Notamacropus eugenii: one gene and its partner. The protein of the gene in region 2 binds, or shares a complex with, the protein of the main gene of each other region. Links are inferred from orthologs where the notes say so. Each region holds a gene or a part of one and is shown on either strand. Other genes may lie near its edges.

The links. The genes of interacting proteins can lie anywhere in the genome.
Region 1: PDRG1 (region 2) and PFDN6 share a complex: the UniProt entries of both Homo sapiens proteins name them as parts of the PAQosome complex. The link is inferred for Notamacropus eugenii from reciprocal best matches to the Homo sapiens genes PDRG1 and PFDN6.

Annotation. Positions count from the first base shown.
Region 1 is NC_092873.1:89,314,932-89,321,296, forward strand, and holds PFDN6 (prefoldin subunit 6), read left to right. Parts: upstream 1-4,263; 5' UTR 4,264-4,536; coding exon 4,537-4,600; intron 4,601-5,069; coding exon 5,070-5,140; intron 5,141-5,225; coding exon 5,226-5,350; intron 5,351-5,626; coding exon 5,627-5,756; 3' UTR 5,757-5,838; downstream 5,839-6,365. Other genes in the region: WDR46 (WD repeat-containing protein 46), read right to left, coding at 289-424, 602-752, 880-984, 1,322-1,383, 1,571-1,658, 1,848-1,960, 2,175-2,258, 2,685-2,954 and 1 more. UniProt on the Homo sapiens protein: Binds specifically to cytosolic chaperonin (c-CPN) and transfers target proteins to it. Binds to nascent polypeptide chain and promotes folding in an environment in which there are many competing pathways for nonnative proteins.
Region 2 is NC_092872.1:431,257,798-431,264,715, forward strand, and holds the start of PDRG1 (p53 and DNA damage-regulated protein 1), read left to right. Parts: upstream 1-3,812; 5' UTR 3,813-3,947; coding exon 3,948-4,076; intron 4,077-4,292; coding exon 4,293-4,368; intron 4,369-5,622; coding exon 5,623-5,697; intron 5,698-6,918. UniProt on the Homo sapiens protein: May play a role in chaperone-mediated protein folding.

The sequences.
Region 1 (6,365 bases), on a different chromosome or scaffold from region 2:
AATGTGGTAAAAAGACCACCGGACACAGGTTAGAGGATGCAGGTTCTGAGTCCTGATTCTGTTCCTTACTACTAATTCTGTGACTGCCAACCCTAACCCTAAATCACTTAACATCTCTAGTTCTCAAATTGCTGATCTGTAAAACAAGAAGGTTGAGCTAAATAATTTCTAAGGAGTGTTTCCAGCTTTGACCACTAGGTCTATGGAATGGATAGGGAAAAAAGCAAGGGAGGTCAGAGGGTCCTAGGACATAAAGCAGCAATGGGTCAGGACGTAACATTTACTAACCATTGCTATGGCCAAGATGGATGACTGCATTGTGGGGATTCTGGGTCATCACATCCAGACGTCCAGCCCGAGCTGCCAGAGAGGCTACAATCTTGCCGACAGACACATCCAAGTAGGTAAGGAACCCTGTCTCTGACTGGACGGTGGAGAAAATGAGACAGAGAGTTACAACCAAGGCCTCTTCCCACCCTCATCACCCTGACACCAATCCACACCCTTTACCAGACTTTCTGCCAAACATCTCCTGCTCCACAGTTGGAGAGGTCATTTCCCAAGGTTAATCAATTTCTCCTAGTTCCTGAGCATGACTCACAGCTGTGACCAACAGGAAGTGGAAGGGCAGGAACTCAAGTCTTGTGATACGATCACACCTTCGGACACAGTGGAGCTCTATCCCTTGATTATCATAGACATGAAGCCAGCGTTTCTGAGCAACTGCAAACAATGTCTCAGAGTGCAGGAAACTGGAGTCAAGAATCACAGAACAAACCATAAAATGACCTCAAGATGAGTCAGGTACTCAACCTCCCTGAGACCCTCATAAGGTCAGTGAGCCTCACCCACTCAATGATGGCCCTGGATCCCACTGACCGTATGTCCCTCACAGCTTCCATGACGTTGATTTCACACATTAATTTCTTTGTTATCCAGTCAAATGTGGCCACATGACCTCTCCGGCCACCCAGGGCAAGGTGTCTGGTGGAAGAGAAAAACAGATATCCTAGTGTTAGGAACCCTTAGTACCTAGAGCTCTGCTTTGCGCTCCCCCCCCACCCCCCAAAAAAGGAGGACACAGATATTTGGTCAAAAGAATATATGCATACAGTTATTGATACCTTAAATCTCTCTCCCCCACCCAGAAAAAGACAGTGAGTGAAGGCAGCAGAGTGTTACTGACAAAGAGACCTCACTGCCCTTGGATGAGAAAATCAATCAATCAATATTTATTAAGCACCTACTATGTGCCAAGCATTGTGCTGGAAAAGAACATTGTGAGAAAGGTTCACTATGCAAACTGGAGAAAGTCCCTCACCTTCCAGTCCGTGAGTAATTGATCCTGTAGGGTCCAAACTGGTACAAGTTCAGGTCAAAATGCTACATTATGAAGGAAAGGGAAAGGGAATAAGCACGTATATAGCACCTACCATGTGCCAAGCACTGTGCTAAGTACAGAGACATGCAGGAGGTCAGCCAAGCCTGGAAATCCTCCCACCCACTCATCATGATATAGCTGTCTTCTCCACATCATCATCATCAGTTCCTTCCCAGCCTTCAACCTCACCTTAGCCGCACTTGCAATGTCCACAGCCTCTACAATGTCAGCCTGGCGGATTGTAGCTGTGTCTTCCCCTGCCTCTCCCTCAAGGAATCTGTGAAGAATGAGGGCTCATTGAAAAGTTCACTAGGACAGAGTTCAGCAGAACTGAGAATGCTGGGTATGAGAAGGGGATGGAGAGGGAGATAGGGGACAACCACAACACAGGTTAGATCCCAGGGGCTGTGGTTACTGACCTCTGAAAGTGGAACAAGAAGATGCCAAGCAAGAATAGCTCACTTACCCAGGCTCCTCAGACAGCAATAATTCGGCCCGGGCTGCACGGACACTTGTTTCCTCTTCTTCATCAGCAGCTGCCTTGAGTTTGTGCTCAGTCACCAACTTAAGGGGATGCTTCTGAGAGAATGATGAATCAAAGGTCATAGGTTACAAATCAGAGGACTGAGAACCCTAACTCTTCCTTCTCAATAACTGGTGAATCAACAATGAAGAATGGGAAAATAAAAGGTCACAGGTGAGTGATGAAAGACTGTCAACTTCAGGTCTTCTTTCTCAATCACTGGATGGACATTAAGACCCTCTGCTGCTCCTCCCCAATTTGCCTTCTTACCTTCACCAATTTAGAACTGCCTCTTCGGAACTTATTTATAGCAGCCTCTGAGAGTGGGGCTGGCCCTGGGAATGGATCCTGAGCCTAGAGGTGATAAGATGAAGTTTTGCATCAGAGATGGTATCCCTTCCTCCTCCCTCATGCTTTTACTGTTACAATGCCTCACATTTACAGAGTACTTTGAAACCCAAGATCTACTTTTCTGGGTGAACCGCTATTTAAGTGTAAATTTAGGCTAATGAGGCATTCTAATGGTCCCACCACTTCATTCTTTCCTCCAAATTCCTTCCCATTCCTCTCCAGACCTTTTGTTTACTCTCACTTTGACCTGCTACCTTAATTCTACAGAGAGATCCTGCTCTTTCCCCTCCATCCACAAAATCCATATCAAAACACCTCAGAAAGTGACAGGGGCATGAGAGGAAGACTGGTTGAGGGCTGACGAGATCCTCTTAGTTTTACCTACTGACCCAAGGATCAAGGCTCCCTGTTTCCCAACCTGAATCTTACCCCAGATAAGGTCTGACTTGGTCTCAGCTCTTGTTTATTGTTTGGCCTCAGATGCTTCTGGTTCTGCTTCGACCTCAGATGCTTCTGGTTCTGCTTGGATCTCAGATGCTTCTGGTTCTGCTTTGACCTCTTAGGTACCCTGACACCCCTGGACTGGGACCAGTCTTCCCTATTCCTCTTGGTCCCCCTGGCAGGGGCAGGGGCAGTGAAAGGGTCGGATGGGAGGGAATTGGCTCCATCAGTTTCCCCTTCCCAGTAGCGTCGAGGTTTCTGGAAAAAACGAGGTAGGGATGAGCAGGGGACAGCAAGATTTTTGCAGGCCAGACTCTTTCTCACCCCACACCCAAACTATGTCAAGTAAAGACATGACGCCTGGGCATTGAAGACTGAAAAGTGCTAAAACTTTGAATAAATTGTAAAACCTGTCTCATTTTACTTACTTGTCATACAATTTGTTGTATGTCTTACACACTTCACTTACCAAAAAATGTGAACTACTGATATCTACACAGATTTAGCCCCCCCCAAAAAAAGCCACTTAAATACTATACCAAAAAATGAATTCTAGTGTTACTTGAGATTAGGCTACCTTCCCTTTATAATGCAAGCAGTAGAAACTTTAATTCCATTTGCAATAACACAAATTTGTGAATATGGCTTCTAAAACGCTTGTAACCATCAAGACAAAAAACCAAAATCCACACGGATATCCAAAATGACAAGCCTGTTGTCTTGTGAAAGACAACCCAATAATTTAACTTCTTAGTCAAGTTCAGCAATAACAGCCTTCACACTGATATATCTTTAAAAAACAAAATTTCACTTCAACTTGCTTATATTTTAAAAGTATTGTATTAGTATTCATCGCGCTAATAAAGAAGCCCATCTACTACTAGACCATCAATTTGATTTTTAATATTTTGCCGGATGTCATGAATTTTGCTCTATGCCATTAAAATACTTTTCTAAATAACAGCAGACTGCAAAGCAGCCCACGACATCAACAAAATTAAGAATTATGGATTTAGACTAATAACATGAGTGCTGCCACTCACAACCAAGAAGAAATGGGATGGCCCACCGGCTCGGGTCGTCCTTGGTCCCTCCCGCTTGCCCCGCCGGGACAAGGGGCAGAGGCACACCATACCTGTTTCTTGCCCTGGGCCTTGACCCGGGCCCCGCTGCCCGACTTTGGAGCCTCTTCCATGCGCCTCGGTCCCAAAACTCCTCCAAAACCCACGTGCAAAGGCCACTCCACGGTCCCACCATCAACTGAAGGAAGACACCGGAAGTCGTAGTTGGAGTGGGCGGAGCCCGAAGACTAGCCACCAATCCAAGACAGCTGTCTTCCGGAAGCCACGTTGGGTAAAGTTGTATCCTCTGGCGGAGATGTCGGACACCGGCGCGGCGATCATGACGTGTCGGTAATAGATGAGAAATGAAGGATGAAAGTGGAGAGCCAGGGAGGACTTCAAGAATCGACAACAGCGTTGCCTTGTATTTTCTTGAGGCTCATGTTCCGCCGCCGAATCCGTTCGAGGAGCCGATCTTTCCGGCGGCCTGGTCTGGATGTTAGGACTACATTTCCCGGCGTACCCTGTGCCTACGTTGTCCTTTTTCCGCCCGTCATTTGCCATGTGCCTCTTGTTTTCCCAGCATCCCCTATCTACCTCCGGGTTCCGGAGCTGTGCTAGGGGAAAGTGCAGGACCGCTGTGTGTGGCTCAGGATCTTTCTTCGGGTCAGGAGGGTTAGGAGCGCGTGTAGCGGCCGAGGCGGGCCTCCAGGCTGCCGGTTGTGGAGTGACACTCTCCCACGCCTCCTTCCTGAGATTCCCGGGCCCTTCTCCAAGCCATGGCGGAGGTGATTCAGAAAAAGCTCCAGGGGGAATTGGAGAAGTACCAGCAGCTCCAAAAGGGTGAGTGAGGAGGGGCTCGGAGCTGCCTCGGCACACGCCCACCCAGACCCGGTGCTTCTCTGCTAGCCATTCAGGGAAGCCTCCCACGGGACCCCTATGTGCCACCCAGCCTGGGTCCAAATTCCCTCCTTCTGAAGGGAGTATTACAAAAAGATTCTTAAGTGCTGGCTGTTGTGTCATCTCCCCTCTCCAGGCCTTGTTTTCCTCATCTGTAAAATGGGCATTGTCATTCCTGCCCTCCATTCGCAGGCCGTGGTGGTGCAGAGAGGGAGGAAATAAGTGCTTTGTGTATAAATTTTGATCTGTTGTTTAAAATGGCTTCATCATTAGTGTTTGTGACTTCATCCACGCCAGACCCTACCCACGACACGACTCTCTTTGATTTATTGGGACTGAGGGTGTTTCAGGTTATCAGATTTTCATTCAGTTTTTCTTTATTTTTTTCTTTTCCCATTTCTTCCCACCCCAGACTTGAGTAAATCTATGTCTAGTCGACAGAAACTGGAGGCACAACTGACAGAAAATAACATCGTAAAAGAGGTGAGGGACCAGGTTTGGAGGTGTCCAGGAGCCATGAGGCACTTCCAGGCATTTTGTGTCTCCAACTGTTTCTCTCCATCCCCAGGAGTTAGCATTATTGGATGGATCCAATGTGGTGTTTAAGCTTCTGGGCCCAGTGTTGGTCAAACAGGAACTGGGGGAGGCCCGAGCTACTGTGGGCAAGCGACTGGACTATATCACAGCAGAGATGTAAGTATTATCCTCCCTTCCTGCCCCACCACCACATTTGACTGTATCTTATGTTAATGTGATGTTGTTTTCGTTTCATTGTCACATATACTTCAACTTTTCTTCTTTTTTTGTCTCCCTTTTAATTCCATCTGTTCCCCAGTAGTAAGTCATGTTGACCCCTCAATAGCTCACTAATGTACCGCTGTACAATTGTCTTAAGCCCTTTTTTCCCCCGACAAACTTGTGAAGCAGCTAGCATGATTATCTTTTTGTGTTTTTCCTATTTCTCTTTAGTAAACGATATGAATCTCAGCTCCGAGATCTGGAGAAGCAATCTGAAAAACAACGTGAAGCTCTGGCTCAGTTGCAGCAGGAGTTCCAGCGTGCCCAGGCTGCCAAGGCAGGGTCTATGGGAAAGGTTTGACCTCCTTGGTTGGGGAGAGAATAAAGTAGGGAAAGACTGTGGGTTACCTGCACTGTGGCAAATAAAATGTGAAAATACCTGACCCCTGCCTTGTTTTCTAACCACCCAGTTACATTACTTTGATCTGTTCTCTTGCCTCCCTTCCTTCTCCCTCCCCAATTCTCATACTAACCATAGTTCCACCTTGGTTCTGTCCATTCAACCTCATTTCTTTCCTAGTGGGTGGGGCTGCTGAGTCTGGTTAGAAGCTTAAGTTGTACTTTCACCCATACCCTCAACTCTTCATTCTTTTACTCTAGCTAGTATAATCAAATATTACATTCATACAGAAGCTTGAAGCCCCTACATGGGAAGAAAAGAGGTATTTATATCCTAGCCCAAAGATGAAAGGCAGATACATTTTTTGACCAAAACACAAGAAGTTTTTATGTTATTCGACGGTCAGCAGTCATGATGACGAAGCTATCATTGTATTCCACGCTATTAACCCCAAAAGATTAGTGACGTACTTAGCCTCGCCACACACGACTTTTGTAAGACTGGGATTTTGGAATAGACCACAGATGTCATGAGAGTTGGTACATATCCAGTCCATTTTAACAGTCCTGG
Region 2 (6,918 bases):
TGAGGGACCTCTAAATTACTCCACAAACTATCATCTCTCCTCATCCCTCTTCACCCAATCTGACACCATGTGGTCGTAGTCACTTTGTCAACAAGCATTTGTTAAGTACCAGTTATGTGTCAGGCACTATGCTAAGCACTGGGAATACAAAGAAAGAAAAAAAAAACATGGTCCCTGGCCTCAAGGAGCTCACATGCTAATGGGGGAGAGAGCATGCAATTAACTATGTACGTATAAGATACATACAGTGTAAGTGGAAGGCCATCTCGGAGGCCAGGCACTAACAAAATGAGGGGCAGGGGGAGACAGACAGCGAAAGTAGAAGGTGGGATATAAGCTGAGTCTTGAAGGAGGCCAGAGAATCTAGGAGAAGTAAGGAAGGAAGAGTATTCCAGACATGGGGAAAGAATCAGAATCAGAAAATGGAGAATCCCCTATGAAGATGAGCAAATAGATAATTGTGGCTGGGTTGTAGAATACAGAAAGGGGAATAAAGTTTAAGAAGATTGAAAGGTAAGGGGGGAAGGTCATAAAGCATTTTTTATTGGATCCTGAAGGTAATAGAGAGCCAAGATCAACCTGTACTTTAGGAAAATGATTTGGCCACTGAGTGGAGGATAGATTTGAGGCAGGGAGAATGATGAAAAGTTGATTGCATTAGTCTAGTCATAAGGTGATGAGGGTCTGTACCAAGCTGGCAGCTGTGTGAGTGGAGAGAAAGGGACAAGGCTTGACAACAGATGGGATATGTGTGATATGTATAAGCAGGATTTTCAGTAGAAAAAATTTGGATTTATAGATAGGGGAAGGGCTGAGAGTTGAAACTGGTTGTTGACCAGTACACCTCCAAAATATAAGAAAGTAAGAATCTCCCAAAAAAAGGAGAAGGCCCTTTTATAAAGTGTGAAAAATGTCCTTGATTGAATTAGAATTTGGACGTTATGTGGGCAAGAGATTGGTCCTGTCCTGGATCACCCTTAAAAACAGTTTCAGAGTTAATGTGAGAGTTCAAGATATAGTTGAAATGCATCTAACAGGGACACACATGAGAGACACACAGTCTTCAGAAAAACACAGACTCAGGGAAGGAGTCTAGTTGAGGAACTTATGTCAGAAGTAAGTTGTGGGCAGAACCTCTGGGAGCAAAGAAAAAAACCTGGCTATGGACTAGCCTGGCAATCAAGAATCAAGCTGGTGAGAAAAACAGACCCTGGGAGCACATCTAGGTGACCTGTCCAGCAGAGATACTGCTAAGAGGAACAGCACAAGGAGAGAAAGGAAATCAAGGTCCTACAGTAATAGCCGTGGGAGTTGCCTTGTTTTCCTGTGTTTCCTACGTGTGGGACTCACTGCCATTATATTCATAAGTTTGTACTCACTCTTCCCACTGTGTGTATTTGTGGGAATGCATATTCCAGGCTTATGGAAGGAATGTTTTGAACCTACTGTTTTTACTATGCCATCTTCTGTAAGTGTTTTTTGCTTTGAGTTAATTGTTAAGAGGATGCCTGGCGGTTTGTGAACTAAAGTTTTAGGATTGTAGACTCATAGGATATCCTTGAAACCTGGGAGCATCCAGTCCCTCTCCTACTCTGGGGTCTAATCTGCAACCTTCAGGATGAGGATTAGCTCCCAGAGAAGGGGCTACACAGAATTTAAGAATCTTGGTGTTGGACAGAGCCACAAAGGCCATCTAAGCCAACTAGTACTTGAAATTGTTAGAAAGTTTTTGCTTAAACGTACTTAAATATTTATAATGACAATCTTGGTTTGGGACCAGAACGAAACTGCGTGTGTTTGTCCTTCCTTGCCGAAGAAGACCATGCCATCAGAGAAATAATGACATGACTTGCACTTGACTTTGTTTTGAGTGAGGGAGGGCTGTGCAGGTCACCAGCCTCACTTCTCCTCCAGAGCCATCTGAATCCAGTGACCAGATATTCATCAGGATGACTGGAGATGACCCAGGATGAGGCAATTGGGGGTAAGTGACTTGCTCAAGGTCACACAGCTAGTGAGTGTCAAGTGTCTGAGGTGAGATTTGAACACAGGTCCTCCTGACTCCTGCACTGGTGTGCTCTATCCACTGCACCACCTAGCTGCCCCTCTGAATGAAACTGCACAAGTTATGAGAAAGCAGGATAAAGTGTGTGTGTAGGATTGCTCAGCCCTATCCCTAAACCTTTTTTTTTGTGTGTGTGTTAACAAAAGAAATGAGATTGATCCTAAAGACCTGTGGTGATCATGGCAAAGATCTGAAGGTAGTAACCTTTACATAAAGTTGTTTTAATAAATCATGTAATCACTAGAAACTCAATCATCTAAGTCTTATAAATGAAGACAATTGGTGAAAAGTAAAATTTTCAAATGTGGGCTGAAGGTTTTAAAGGATAGATGACTGATTTTCTAGTTTAGTAATGCTGAAATATATTCTATATTATACACCTTGAGCCATATGAAGTTCAATGATAAATTCAAGGTATCATGAAATGGCATAGCTCCATGAGGCTCAGTGTTATGAGTTTATAGGCTGAATAGCCTGGAGGGTGGAGGGAGCCTTTTGGGAAGGTGGTGCATGAATACAGAGTAACTTGGCTGGTAGACCCAGAGTTGAGCCACCTGTGGCCATATTCCCTTGTAGGTTAATTAATTTTATTGTTATTCAATTGTTTTTCAGTCACATCTGACTCTTCATGACCCCAGTTGGGGCTTTCTTGGTAAAGAAAATGGTTGGTTTGCCATTTCCTTCTCCAGCTTATTTTACAGATGAAGAAACTGAGACAAATAGGGTTAAATGACTTGCCCAGGGTCATGTAGCTAGGAAGTGTCTGAGGTCAGATTTGAACTCATGAAGATGAGTCTTCCTAATTCTAGACCCAGGACTCCATCCACTGCACCACCTAGCTGCCAAGGCTAATTAATTAGCAAATGAATTCATTGATAGCCTGTTTTTCTGAAGTTTTCAGAGAGTAGAAAAAGGGGCTGTGGAATAATATTCCTTCTGCAGCACCAAGTGTACACCAAGCCCATACCACCACTAGGGATGAAGCCCAAATCTGTCTCTTTCAAACTTATATATACTTATTAGTCCTAGTTTAGGGCCAGAAAACCCAAGTTTTAGAGAGGACCCCCTTGTTACATCTGCTGAGGATAAGAATAATATATGTTGAAGGTCAAAGACTGTAATTTTGCCTCCCTGATAAAAATATTATTGTTCTTAGAGCAATTCCTTTTCTTTCAACATACCAAATTATTTGCACCAGAAAATTCCTAAAGCAGTGAAAGCTAGAGTTTTTTTATAACATAATAAAGTGTGTTTAGTTAAAATTTTTGAATCTGAATCACGTCATTTTACAGAGAAGGAACTTTTCCAGGGTCATATAGATCCTGTAATGATCATCATCTAGCTTCTTCCTGAAAACGTTCTTTTGACTCCTCCAGTCCACAGGTAGCTCTTCCCTTCTAGGTCAGGGCCATAGCTGTGGACCTAAGCAGGGAGAGCCTGACCTAGGCTTCTGGAAAGTCCGTCCACACCTGCACCATGCACCTGCCCCAAGCTCCACCGAGCAGGACCCATGATGAAGAGGAGGAGGAAAGGGCGGGGGGAGGGGAGGACACGGTGTGAGATTCACTCCACTCTCCCCACCGTAGGACTCGCCCCGAGTCCTGGGCGTGCGGGAGAAGGTGACCCTTCTCGCAGCTGTCACTTTCGGACTTGAGGACTTCCAGAGCAAAGCCTGAGCTCCACCGGACGGAGGCGCCAAAGTACCAGCACACGTGCGTCCCCGCCCAACTCCCGCGGGCCCAGAAGGCGTCGTCACGTGGCCCCAGAGGCCGTCCTCCCCTTCATTTCCCCCGCCCCGCCCCCGGGCGTGCGTCCTGACCTACGTGCCCCGCGCGCGCCGGCGGCCGCGTGCGACTACGTAGCGTGCCTGCGTGGCTGGCGCATGCGCACAGGGAGACTGCCGAACCGCACCATTGCCGGAGTCATGTTGGGGGCGGAAGCCGAACGTGTGTTGCTCTACCTGGGGGAGGTAGAGGAGCTGGCTGAGGAGGTGCTGGCCGACAAGCAGCAGGTTCGCCAAGGGCCCAGGAGCGAGGAGAACGCGCTCTCAGATTCCTGCTCTCCGTACTCCTCCATTTTTTCCTTTCCCCGACTTTGAGCCTGGTCCTTGCACAAAGAAGGAAACTGAGGCCCGGGGGCGGAGGATGGGGGGGAGGAACGGGCCAAGATTGCGCCTCTGATCCCCTCCCCCCTCTCGGCCCCACCCTGACGTCTGGCTTTCTCCTAGATAGTGGACCTGGACTTGAAAAGGAACCAGAACCGGGAAGCCCTGAGGGCCCTTCAGAGAGACCCCAGCCAGTCGGGTGAGTTGGGGGCGAGCGGGGTCTGGGGTCATGCGGGTCACTCCCCGGCCTCTGCACGCCCTTCCAGGGGTGACCCTGGAGTCCACGTAGAGCCGCCTGCCCATGCTGGGGTGCTTCCTCCCCTGCGCCGCTTGTGGGGAACATTCGGCCTCTGGCCCAGCTTTGGGTTCCGAGCACTGACCCTGCGCCCTAGAAGACTGTGCTTGGAAACGGCAGCTTCGGTGGAACTGGTGTTCTCTAACTTTTAGGAATGTTGAGTGTCAGCAAGACTGGATTTACTGTGACTTTTTTCTTTTAGGGTCAGTATCAGTTAAACGTCTTTTATTCTACATCACAGCAGTAGAGCCAAGAGGGGAGGGAAAGACGAAGAAAACCAAATCAGATGGAATATTTACATCCAGAATTCACATCACTTACATATTGGGTCCAGAACACTATATACAGTAAATGCCTTTGGGGACATGGATATAAATTCCTTTTTTTTTGTTTGTTTGACATTACTTTCCTGTATAGTAAGATAGGGTTGTGGGGCTTTTTTCGGTATTTTATTTTTTAAAAACATGAGTGTACAGAAGTGGTTAGAGATCTCCATTTTCTTTCTTTCTTTCTTTTTGGCCAAACTAGGTCTTAAATTCTAGCACCTTCCTTAGGGAATTATGGATACATGAAGTCTTACAGAGAATACTCGTAATAGTGGACATATAGCGCTTGAGGATTTGTGAAGTGCCCTACATGTTATCTTATCCAATTCTTACAATAACCTTGTGAGATAAATACTAGTATCCCTGTTTTATAGATGAGGAAATTGGGACTGAGCAGGGTCAGACAGTAAGGATGAGGAAGGATGTGAGGCCCTGTCTTTCTGACTTCCAAATCCACTAAAAACTCTGCTTCAAGAGTCCTTGAGTATCACTAGCTAAATTTGGCATTAGCCCCAAAGATACTGGCCTCAGTGAGGGGTACGACTAGTGCCCTTATTCTGGCTTGTCTCCTTATCTTTGTAAGAGCCTTTTTTGATTCTCCACATCCCCCAACAGCTTCTAGCGTCCTCCCTCCCAAACTACTTTAAATGTATTTGTATCTCTTGATATGCCACATATATACCTGTGGTTTCCTCCATTAGAATGTAAGCGTTTCAAGAGTAGGAATTGTTTCATTTTTAGTATTTGTGTCCCACAGTGCCTGGCACATAGTAGGCGCTTAGTAAATACTTGCTGATTTATCAAGCTGACCATGCACTATTTACTGTTTCAGATAAAGTGATGGTTTGCTTTGGAAACATGTTCATCAAACTTCCTCGACCACGGACAAAGGATATGATTGAGAAAGGTAAGGAGCCCGAAAACTGTACTGTGAACACCAGCTTCACCTCCTAAATCAAATTTTACATAGCATTTAGGCTCAGGTTTTAATTCAAATTGATCACAAAGTCTGAGTTTCAAAAGTTTGATAGTCTTTGACCTGGAGTTTTAACTTTGGGGCATATACCTCAAAGAAGTCAAAGACAGAAAGGCGGGGTGTATGTGTGTGTGTGTGTGCATGCTTGTGTATACACATAAATATGCATAGATGTGTGTATATATATATACATATATACATATATATACACATATATCCCAAATTATTCACAGCTACACTTTTTATAGTAGCAAAAAACTTGAAACAGTGAGTATGTGCTGATTAAGGAATGGTTGTAAGAAACAAGTATGAGGAATTCAGAGAAAGGGAACATAACATTTGAATTGATGCAGAGTGGAGTAAGCAGAAATAGTAAAATGATAAACACAGTGATTACAATTTTTTTTTTAAAAAGTCAGCCCCTAAAACCTTCTTCTTGGGGTCAGTTTTTTTGGAGGGAAAGGGGTTGTGGGGCATCAGTGCTGAAAGACAAAACCAGGATCTATATCCTTCACTGGGGAAGAAGGAATTGAACATCCCACCATCCTGGTACAATGGAAGGAGCACTGGCTGGGCGGTCAGAATCTGGGTTCAAGTCCTACTTCTGCCTGAATTTGTAAAAAGACGTTGTCGTCTGTGTGATCTTGGGCAAGACACAACTTTGCTGGGACTAAATTTCCCCCTTTTCAAGATGGACTAGGTGGCCTCTGATGTCCCCTCCAGCCCCAAATGTCTGATCCCTGTGGAATCAAAATTAATCAGAGTAGAATGGTATGATTTGAAAACAAAGTAATTGACAGTTCTTGGTATCCTGCCCCAGAAAAGAAATTCCACAGTCTGACCAAGCCTCTCTTACTGTATACTACCTCTTTATTCTAGCCAGACCATCTCTTCACTTTCCGTCTGGCACGCCACTCCATGCTTTCTCATTTCTGTGTGTTTGATCTTGCTGTTACCTTTGCTTACAAGCATCTTCCTCATCTCATTGGTCTTCATAAATTATATACATTCTTAAAGGTTGAACTTGAGTCCTGACTCCTGCATCCTTCCATTTGCTGAGTCATTAATCTGTGCCACTCATTAGACAATTAAACATTTCCAGCGAGGCATTCTCTTTGGACAGTCAGTTTCTTTGGCTAGATGGTATGTAGT